Macaca mulatta: one gene and its partner. The protein of the gene in region 1 interacts with the protein of each later gene in a pairwise test. Links are inferred from orthologs where the notes say so. Each region holds a gene or a part of one and is shown in the gene's direction. Other genes may lie near its edges.

Region 1 (4,643 bases):
TGGCCAAGGAGGACACCATGCTGCATCCGTTCCTCTACCCCACCCCTCCTCTGAGGCTCTGGTGCCTCCAAGCGGCCTGGCCCAGCCCTCAGTGCCCTTGGAACCTGGGTCACAGGCTAGCTGCCCTCCCCAAAGTCTGCAACCACCCTTCACACCACCCAGCCCCTTGCCCTCCCCATCTGCAGAGTCCTGTTCCTTCTCCCAACTCTGGCCCTGGCCACTCCGTGGATACTGGTATTGTGTTTCTGCTGTTCTACCCCCCACTCACCATTTGTCAACCACTGTTCCCACTCTTCCAGTCCCCAAAGCCCGGCTCTCCGCGGTTTTCCCCATGTGCATAGCCTCGTGCCGCGCTTCCTGCTTCACTTTTCAACGTAGATCTGGCAACATCCCAAGTCCCGGCCTCTCCCATCCTGTACGACCCCCAGGCCGCTGGTACCTGATCCAGCCTCAAAAGCAACTCAAGAGTCAACGGGTCCCAGTCCCTAGGGGGCCCTGAGCAAGGGACTCCTCGCCCCGCCCCCCACCCCTCTCAGAGACTTGACTGAGCACCTCCCTTTTTTTTTTTTTCTGAGACAGAGTCTCACTCTGTCGCCCAGGTTGGAGTGCAATGGTGCAATCTCGGCTCACTGCAACCTCCGCCTCTCGGGTTTAAGTGATTCTCCTACCTCAGCCTCCCGAGTAGCTAGGATTACAGGCGCCCGCAACCACGCCCAGCTAATTGTTTCGTATTTTTAATAGGGACAGATTTCACCTGGTTAGCCAGGCTGGTCTCGAACTCCTGACCTCAGGTGATCCACCCGCCTCGACCTCCCAAAGTGCTGGGATTACAGGCGTGAGCCACCGCGCCCTGCCGCACCTCCCAATTTTTAAATGTTGTCAACTAAGTCACCCCGCCACCAAGCGCACTCCCCTCCTGCGTCACCGACCCATCGGGTAACCTGTCTACACACGGCCATCTCTTCGCACCCCCTCCCCTTCTCCAACCCGACTTCTGGCCTCACCCACACCCCCACAGACCCGTTCCTGCGGCGCCGCAGCGAGCAACCGAGTACAAGGCCAGCCCCGCCTCCCGGGCCCTAGCACGCCGGGCTCCCGGACGCCAGGCCGGCCTCTCCCCGCGATCGCCCCGGGCTCTCCCCGAAACGGGCGGCCTCCCGTGCTGCTCCAGGCCGCCTCGCCGCCACGAGCCTGCACCTGTAGGCGAGGCCCGGCTCCCCGCGGACCCCGCGGTGTGAGCCCCGCGCGCCTCCAGCCCGGTTCCCGGTCCTCCGGGCCACCCTCTCCCCCGAGCTGCGGCCCCCTCGCGCGGACAGCGGGCTCAGCTGGTGGGACGCGCAGTGCCTGCGTCTCCAGCTCACCGCGTGCGCGGCGCGCAACCGAGCGCCATGGCCGGTCGGCCGACGCCACTGAAAGGCCCGGGGGCGTCGAACCCACGGAACCCCGGCCCAGGACCTCGGGCGCCCGACCCGGCCCCCGGCCCCGCCCACACCACCTCCAGCGGCCCGCCCCCCAGGCGCCATTGGCCGCGCCTGCTCCGCTCTCCGCGCGCTGATTGGTCGGCCCGAGGGTCGGTCAGACCGGGCGCCGCGGCGGCGGCAGCGGCAGAGAAGGGAGCGGGACCGGAAGGGTCGCAGCGCCCCGGCGCCCCTCACACCCACTGCGGCGGCGGCGGCGGCGGGGCGGAGCGCGGCGGGGCGGGCCGGTGGCGGAGCCGGGGCCGCGGAGCCAGGAGTGACTAGCACGCAGCGCCGCCAGTCCGCCCGCCCGCCCTCTCCCCGTGGCGCGGCGGCGGGGAGGCGAGGTGAGCCCGGCGGGCGGGCTAGGCCTGGCGGCGGCTGCTCGGGCCGGGCCCGCGGGGAGGGGCGGCGGGGGAACCGCGCGGCCGGGGTTTCGGGGTGGGCCGGGGGCTGCGGGGCCCTGGCAGCCGCAGCCGTCGCCCCTGTGCTCGGGGATGCCGCAGGCGCCCCCTTCCGCCCGGCTGTCAGCGGCTCCGGGCTGCGGGCCTGCTCCCCGGCCTGGCCCGGCCGACCTGCCCGTGGGGTCTGCGGGCGCCATCCCTCGCGGAGGTGGGGCGAACAGCTGCACTCCTGCGCCGGGGGCCCAGGGGCCCGGGGTCGCGTCCCCGCGACCTTGACCAAGGCACTGACCCTCGCTCTGCCGCGGTTTTGCCTTCAGGAAGGTGGGGAAATGCCTCTTCTGGACAGGGTTGTTGTCAGGCTGTGTGAGTGTATGCAGACGCCTGGGCAGGACGCCGGTGAACATTTGTGGAAGATTGGGCAGGGTGCTGGCCCTTGCCGGTGTGAGTGGTGTAGGAACCCCCTCCTCATCCGCCCAGCCTCCCGCCTCCCCACGCACGCCTCCCTTGCCTTGTCATTGCACACTCAGTGTCCAGCAGTGCCAGAGGGGACCCAGCCCACATCCCTTACCACCACACCCCTCTCCCAGAAGACTGCTGCCCCAGTCCACTCATCTCGCCCGCCTTGAACATGCCAGCCCGCATTTGCCCCAGGACCTTTGTATTTGCTGTTTCCTCGTCTTTGGAGTTGTCTGTGATCTTGGCACAAGTAGCTCTTTCTGCTCCTTCCTCTGGCCAGATGTCTCGGTTTGGGTGAGGCCCTCCTCGACCACCCTCTTTCTTCCCTTAGTCATGCTATTTCATTATTTTAAAAATTTCCTTCCTAGCTCTTACCTGGTTTGAAACGTTTCTATTTATTTGCCTGTTTATTTTCTGTCTCCCCGACTAGGATGTAACTTTGTGAAAACAGGTAGCTGTCTGATTTGTCCACTGCTTTATCCCCAGTACTTAGAAAGCACACAGTAAGTATTCAGTAGTATCAGCTCAATGAATGAATGAATGATCAAAGAAATGGCCCAGTCTCCCTGTTGTCTCTGCTTTATCTGTTAATTTAGTGACTTCTGATTAACGTGTGAAACTTGTAAGCAGATGGAAGCTTGTTCTATTTTGTGAAACATTTTGGTGTCCTTGACCCCTTTAATTGCTAACCGTTGGAACAAGCTGTGATGTAAAATCTCACATTTTTATAATGGTTTAGCTCTAGCTTTCTTCCACACATGCAGGAGACATTTACTGAATTCTGCATTATCTAGGTCATGCTTTCTGCTAGGCCCTAGGGACACAAGGCAGATAGCAACAGGGTCCCTTTCCGAAGAGAGCCCAGGAGCCCAGTAGAGAAGGCAGGCATGCAGACACTTAGTTCCAGGACTGTGCAACCCTTGCTGTCGTGGAGGGGCTATGCCATGGAAATGTGGAGGAGGTGACAGGTGATGCTGGGGGGCCTTGAGGGTGATGAGAAATTTGCTAGGCAGGGAGAGGCAGAGGTATGAAGGAGCAGGGCCAGGTAAGGACCATAGCCCACTGTGGAGTTGAGAATCAGTCTGGAGGGCCAGGTGTAAGGGCACAGAGTCGTGGGGACTCTGAAGAACTGGAACCTTACCCAGCAGTTTTCTAGAAGAAGGTGGAATTTGACTAGTGCCATGGCTCACGCCTGTAATCTCAGACACTTTGGGAGGCTGATGTGGGAGGATCACTTCAGGCCAGGAGTTCAAGACCAGCCTGGGCAACAGTGAGATCCCTGTCTCTACAAAAAATTTTTGAAAATTAGCTAGGTGTGGTGGCATCCACCTGTAGTCCTAGCTACTTGGGAGTCTGAGGTGGAAGGATCCCATGAGCCCAGGATTTTGAGCCTGCAGTGAGCTATGATCGCACCACTGTGCTCCAGCCTGGGTGACAGAGCAAGACCCTGTCTCTAAAACAGAAGGCAGCACTCCACATTTGTTCCGATTTTTAAATGTTGGCAATAGCTAATTAATTTTTTTTTTTTTTTAAATGCTGTGAGCCAAGCCAAATACAGATTCATTCAGCTTGGTTGCAGATTGTCATCCTCCAGGAGTGGCTGTGTGGGAGGGAGGAGCTGTGAGGAGAGCAGGAAAGGTAGCCTAAGGCCAGGAGAGTCAGGCCCTGTTTGCCCAGGTGCCAGCCCAGATACTCATTTGATTGTAACTGGAGCCCTGTGGAAACGGAAGCTCAGGAGTTTGAGTAGTCTGCTTCTTAGCAAGCAGCTGGTGAGTGGAATCCGAACCCAGATCTCTCCCTAGATAAGGATTCTTTCCTGAGTCCCTCAGCTCTGAGTATTCTCTTTTGGCTTTTAACTTCTTCTGGAAGAATGACCACCAATCTATTTAATGTTTTCCTTGATTTAACTTTTAAATTTTTCTTCAAAAGGATCCTGCAGAGTTAAAAACAATACTATTTTTGCATAGACTTCTCTGGACAGCTTTGATTTTCCTGGTAATTTAATTTTCAGGGTGCCAGAACATTAATTTGTTCACAGACTAAAATCTGTTTATTTGGTTCCCTGAATAAACATTAGAGGGGATTCTTGAATGTGTCTAAGATAAAATATTTTTAATTTTCTGGATAAAGAAAAGGACCAGACAAACCAGTTAATAGTGACTAGACCAGTTTTCGTGAGACATAAAACAGAGACCAGATTTTTTTTCTTCTTAAGACTATTGATTTGCCAATAGGGCAACTATTTTTGGTCTACATACATACAGTAGTTATACCTGACACTTGGTTAGGAAGGTGCCATTTTTCCATAATTTTCCTTCAGAATAAT
Region 2 (4,658 bases), on another chromosome or scaffold:
GGGATTACAGGTGTGAGCCACCACGCCCAGCCTATCTTTCCTTATTTCTTAATGATTTATTTGGGACTTTCTCATTCGTGTTCATAACTGTCTTGTCAAGGTTTTAGAGATTTTGTTGTGGTTGTTGCAGGATGGAGACATGTCTTGAGGGTAGAGCCAAAGGGCAGGTTAATGGACTAGCGGTGGATGAAAAGGAAGGATTATGGGTAACTCGCAGGTCACGTACTCAATTCCTCAATGTTTGACCCTCACCTATCCATGAGCTCTGTCATGGCAGAAACAAGATCTGTCAGGGTTCTTTGTGTCCAGCAGGGGCTTACTTGCTTCTCCAAGAAATACTCAAAAAGTTGCTGAATTAATCAACAGTTGCCAGAGTCATATACAGGCTTAAAGTTCCCCCTAATCCCTTTGGCCCTATACCAGGGTCCCTCAAAGGATCCATGAGACATGGACTGCTGGCTTTCCTGGAGAGCCCATCTGAAATGCATTCATCAAATCCACCCAACAGATCTTTACTAAGCACCTACTATGTGCCAGGCACTGTTCTAGAGGTTGGAGACACAAACAAGAGGAAACAAGAAAGACAAAGAAAGACAAAACCTCTGGCTTGATTGAGGTGACATTCTAGTGGGGGAGATAAGGAATGCATACATCGAAAATGCGATATGCAGACAGTGATGTGTTAAAGGGAAAAATAAAGCAGAAGACAGAGAGAACCGTGTGTGTGTTTCGGTGTCAGTTACAGTTGTCCATAGGGTGGTAGTAATAAAGGCAAGAACTTTGAAATCAGAGGGAATGGCCCAGGCAAAGATAGCAGGGCAGTAACATGCCTGCTATGCTACAGGAACATGAAGTAGGCCAGTGTTACTGGAGTGAAGGGCAGGAGGAAAGAGATGAAGTCACACTGGTATCAGGGAACCAGCTCTGTAGGACTTTGCAGGCCTGCTTTCTACCTGCTGCAGCCTCACTTTATTTTTTACAGTGAGGTGGGAGTCAGGGAAGGGATCTGGGCAGAGGAGGGAGCTGATCTGACTCAGGTGTTCACAGGCTCCCTCTGGCTGCAATCAGGGAACTACTAAGGACAGACTGGAAGGTTTTGGGGGAGACGCGATCACAAGCTCAGTTTCGGATGCTCTGAGTTTCAGATGGCTCAAATGCGTGGGGAGGGCAAGTGGGCATCTGTAGGCTCTTACAGAGCCTGCACCGACTTCACTTTTTACATCCGTTTCCCTCTTCGTCTCGCTTCGTTCGCTACCTGTAGTTAATCGTCTACTCCTGATGTTTCCCACGCCAGCACCTTTGCAGGTGCAGTGGACACTGCCGGGAAGGCCATCTCCTCACGTTTTAACCCCACTTCCTAACACCCTCAAGCGAGACCAGAAGGCCCGCACAGCTTCACTAAAGCTCGGGCCCCGCCCCTCCCAGGGTCCCGCCTCCCTCAAGCCCCGCCCCGCGCTGCGCTCACTTGTAGAAGCTCACAGGGCGGTTGTCTGCGCCCAAGCTGCCCGCAGTGTTGGAGCAGTTCGGCGCCCTGCAGTACTTAGGCATGGCTGTCCAGCCCCGTTGAGTTTTGCCGGGTCAGCAGCTGCACTTTGGTTCTCGTGGAGCGCCGCCGAACCCCGCCCCGCCCGCGCGCTCGCCGCCTGCCTCACATGACGTCCGTGGAGACTCGTCACGTGCCGGGGAGAGCGCTGAGAGCGCCTGGCTATTAGGCGCCCCTCCAGTGCCACAGTCACGCCCTCGTCACGTAGCGAATTGGCTATAGCGAGAACTGTACGCCTGCGCAAAGCCTGCCCTTCTCCACCCCGACTTTCATCACGTGTTGGGGAGAGGGGCGGCGTCACGTCGTTTCTGAGCCTGCGCCAACCAAATCAACTGGCCAGTCAATCTCTTACGGCTCCACCCTACGCCTATATCCGGGCGACCGTCGGAGCGCATATAGTTCCTCTGGGTGGCGGCAAAAACCGAGGTGAGGCAGCTGGGGCCTTAGCCTCGTAAAAGTTAAAACCTGTATGTTTCAGCGAATAATGAAAACGGAGTCTGGATGAAAGACCCCACGACTCTTGATCAGGTATCCAGTACACTAGCCGCCCAGCCAGGCACTCGCTCCGCCTCTTCGCTCCCATTGGCCCTAAGCGCCGCCCGGCAGCCCTGCGGTTGGCCAGGCCGGGCCTGTGGTGTCCAATAGGCGGCGGCGCCGGCTTTCCCGCGGCTGTTTGCTGTTTCAGTGGGTTGTGGCGGTGGCGGCGGCGGCGGTTAAGGGATGTAACGGTCGCCCGGCTCCGGCGTGACGATGGCGGCCGTAGGGTCCGGAGGCTGTGCGCGGAACGATGCAGGGGAGAAGCTGCCCTCTGTCATGGCGGGAGTTCCGGCGCGGAGGGGTCAGTCCTCCCCGCCGCCCGCCCCACCGCTCTGCCTCCGGCGGCGGACGCGACTCTCGACGGCCTCCGAGGAGACGGTGCAGAACCGGGTGAGAAGCTGCTCGTCATGTCTACCCCAGTTCCAGGCCTCCTGGGTTTCCCCTAGTCCCGTCCTGAGAACTGTGGCCCCGACTATCAGTCCCTGGCCAGTCCCCTCAGGCTGTTCCCTCCCTGGCTTCGTCCCCTAAGTCCCGCCCCTTTAGCCATGGCCCCTCCCACTTTCCCTCTCCTCGTTGCATTCCCGGCTCCACCCTCAGCGTTGGAGTAATTCCTGGGTTCCTCCCTGGTTCCCACCACTGGGGAATGCATTTTGTTTCTGCAAATCACAGCCTAGTCCTCCTATACTTTAACCCCCGTTCTATCGCCTTTAGACGTCACGATCATAGCTCACTGCAGCCTCACTGCCCTGGCCCCCGCTGGGTCATTAAGGTCCCTTCGAGGGTTTAGTCCAGAGTGTTACCTGCCCCAACTCTTCCTCGCTTCTACCTCGCCTTCTCTCACCTTCTGCGGTCTCTATCCTTTTTCCTCACCAAGGTGGGGATTCTTAATCCATATTGTCATTCAAAACTATGACAAAGAAATCTCCGCAGTGCTGCCTGGGGAGGAGGGCGCACAGAACAGTTCCCTAAATTTTGAGACAGAAACACAGAAGGAAATGATTTCACAGTAGGTAGAAGGAATTCCATTAGCACAGCGGCAATTAAAAAAAATTGTTTTCCAGCTCTGTAGGCACAAAATCTGTTTTTATAAAATGGAGATGATAAGAACCATAGTATTGGTAGGGCGCGGTGGCTCACGCCTGTAATCCCAGCACTTTGGGATGCCAAGGTGGGCTGTTCACCTGAGATCAATTCAAGACCAGCCTGGCCAACATGGTGAAACCCCGTCTTTACAAAAAGTACAAAAATTAGCCGAGCTAGCACACTCCTTTAATCCCAGCTATTCAGGAGGCTGAGGCGGGAGAAATCCCTTGAACCCAGGAGGCGGAGGTTGCAGTGAGCTGAGGTCACGCCACTGCACTCCAGCCTAGGCGACAGAGTAAGACTGTCTCAAAAAAAAAAAAAAAAAAATTATACTATTGCATTGGAAAGAAGTGAAATTTTACTTGTGATCTTCTTGGCACAGAGTCCAGATAAAGGGAGGATACCTGGTAGCTGCTGGTGGAGCTTGTTCCTGCCCCATGACTTTCTCCTGCACTGTGGTTATACTGCCCACTCCTGGCTATAGGGCTCTGGCTGTACCTCCCATGTCCTCCCTGTCACCAACGTTCAGTCACACTGGCCTGCTTTTGGTTTTCCTGAGGCTCCATATTCTTTTCTGCCTCCTTAGCCTGGGCTTTTTGCTGCAATCTACCTGGCTGGCTCCTTCCCATCCTTCAAGTCTCAGCCTGAATGTCGCTATCTGGAAAGGCCTTCTTGAACCCCATTCTAAAGCAGACACCCACCTTCATCTCTCACCCAGCACCCTATACGTCATAGCCTTTATCTTATATGTTCCTGAAAGTGCCTTTTGAGCTATTAAACTACATATAACAATATCAAATTCAGAGAGGCATTATAGCAAGGTGGCTAAGAGAACAGACTGGTATGGTTGGACCCAGGCAGCCTGAGCTTAAACTTTAGTCCTGTTCTTCCTGGTAGTTTATGAACTTTGCTTTTTCTTTTTCTTTTTTTTTTTTTTTTTTTTTTTGAGATGGGGTCTTACTCTGTCATCCAGGCTGTAGTGCAGTGGAGTGATCTCGACTCACTGCAGTCTCAGCCTCCATGGGCTCAGGTGATCTTCCCACCTCAAGTCTCCTGAGTAGCTGGGACTACAGGTGCATGCCACCATACCTGACTAATTTTGTTTTGTTTTTTGGTAGAGACAGAGGGTCTCGCCATGTTGGCCAGGCTGGTCTTGAACTCCTGAGCTCAAACGATCTGCCTGACTTAGTCTCCCAAAGTACTAGGATTACGGGAGTGAGCTACTGTGCCCCGCCAAGTTATGAACTTATCTGTGCCTCAGTTTTCTTATCTGTAAAATGAGAATGATGTAGAAATCTTTCATAGGGTATTTGTGAGGATTAAATGAGGTCACATATCCTAGGCACTCAGAACAACACTGGCACATGGCAAGTACTCTATTCATGTTAGCTAATACTGATACTATAACTGTATATTTGGGGTAATATTTATTTTTCTTGTTTGGCAGTACGGAGTTGATCTGTCTTGCAAAGACCTAGTCTAAAAATGACCATTC

What was found. The genes of interacting proteins can lie anywhere in the genome.
Region 2: the proteins of MAPK9 (region 1) and WDR62 interact in binary tests that used the Homo sapiens proteins (3 or more experiments, as listed by UniProt). The two-hybrid records come from large-scale screens. The link is inferred for Macaca mulatta from reciprocal best matches to the Homo sapiens genes MAPK9 and WDR62.

What each region holds. Positions count from the first base shown.
Region 1 is NC_133411.1:189,305,271-189,309,913, reverse strand, and holds the start of MAPK9 (mitogen-activated protein kinase 9), read left to right. Parts: upstream 1-1,600; 5' UTR 1,601-1,804; intron 1,805-4,643. UniProt on the Homo sapiens protein: Serine/threonine-protein kinase involved in various processes such as cell proliferation, differentiation, migration, transformation and programmed cell death.
Region 2 is NC_133424.1:47,310,723-47,315,380, forward strand, and holds the start of WDR62 (WD repeat-containing protein 62), read left to right. Parts: upstream 1-1,849; 5' UTR 1,850-2,293; coding exon 2,294-2,470; intron 2,471-4,658. Other genes in the region: THAP8 (THAP domain-containing protein 8), read right to left, coding at 1,466-1,548. UniProt on the Homo sapiens protein: Required for cerebral cortical development. Plays a role in neuronal proliferation and migration.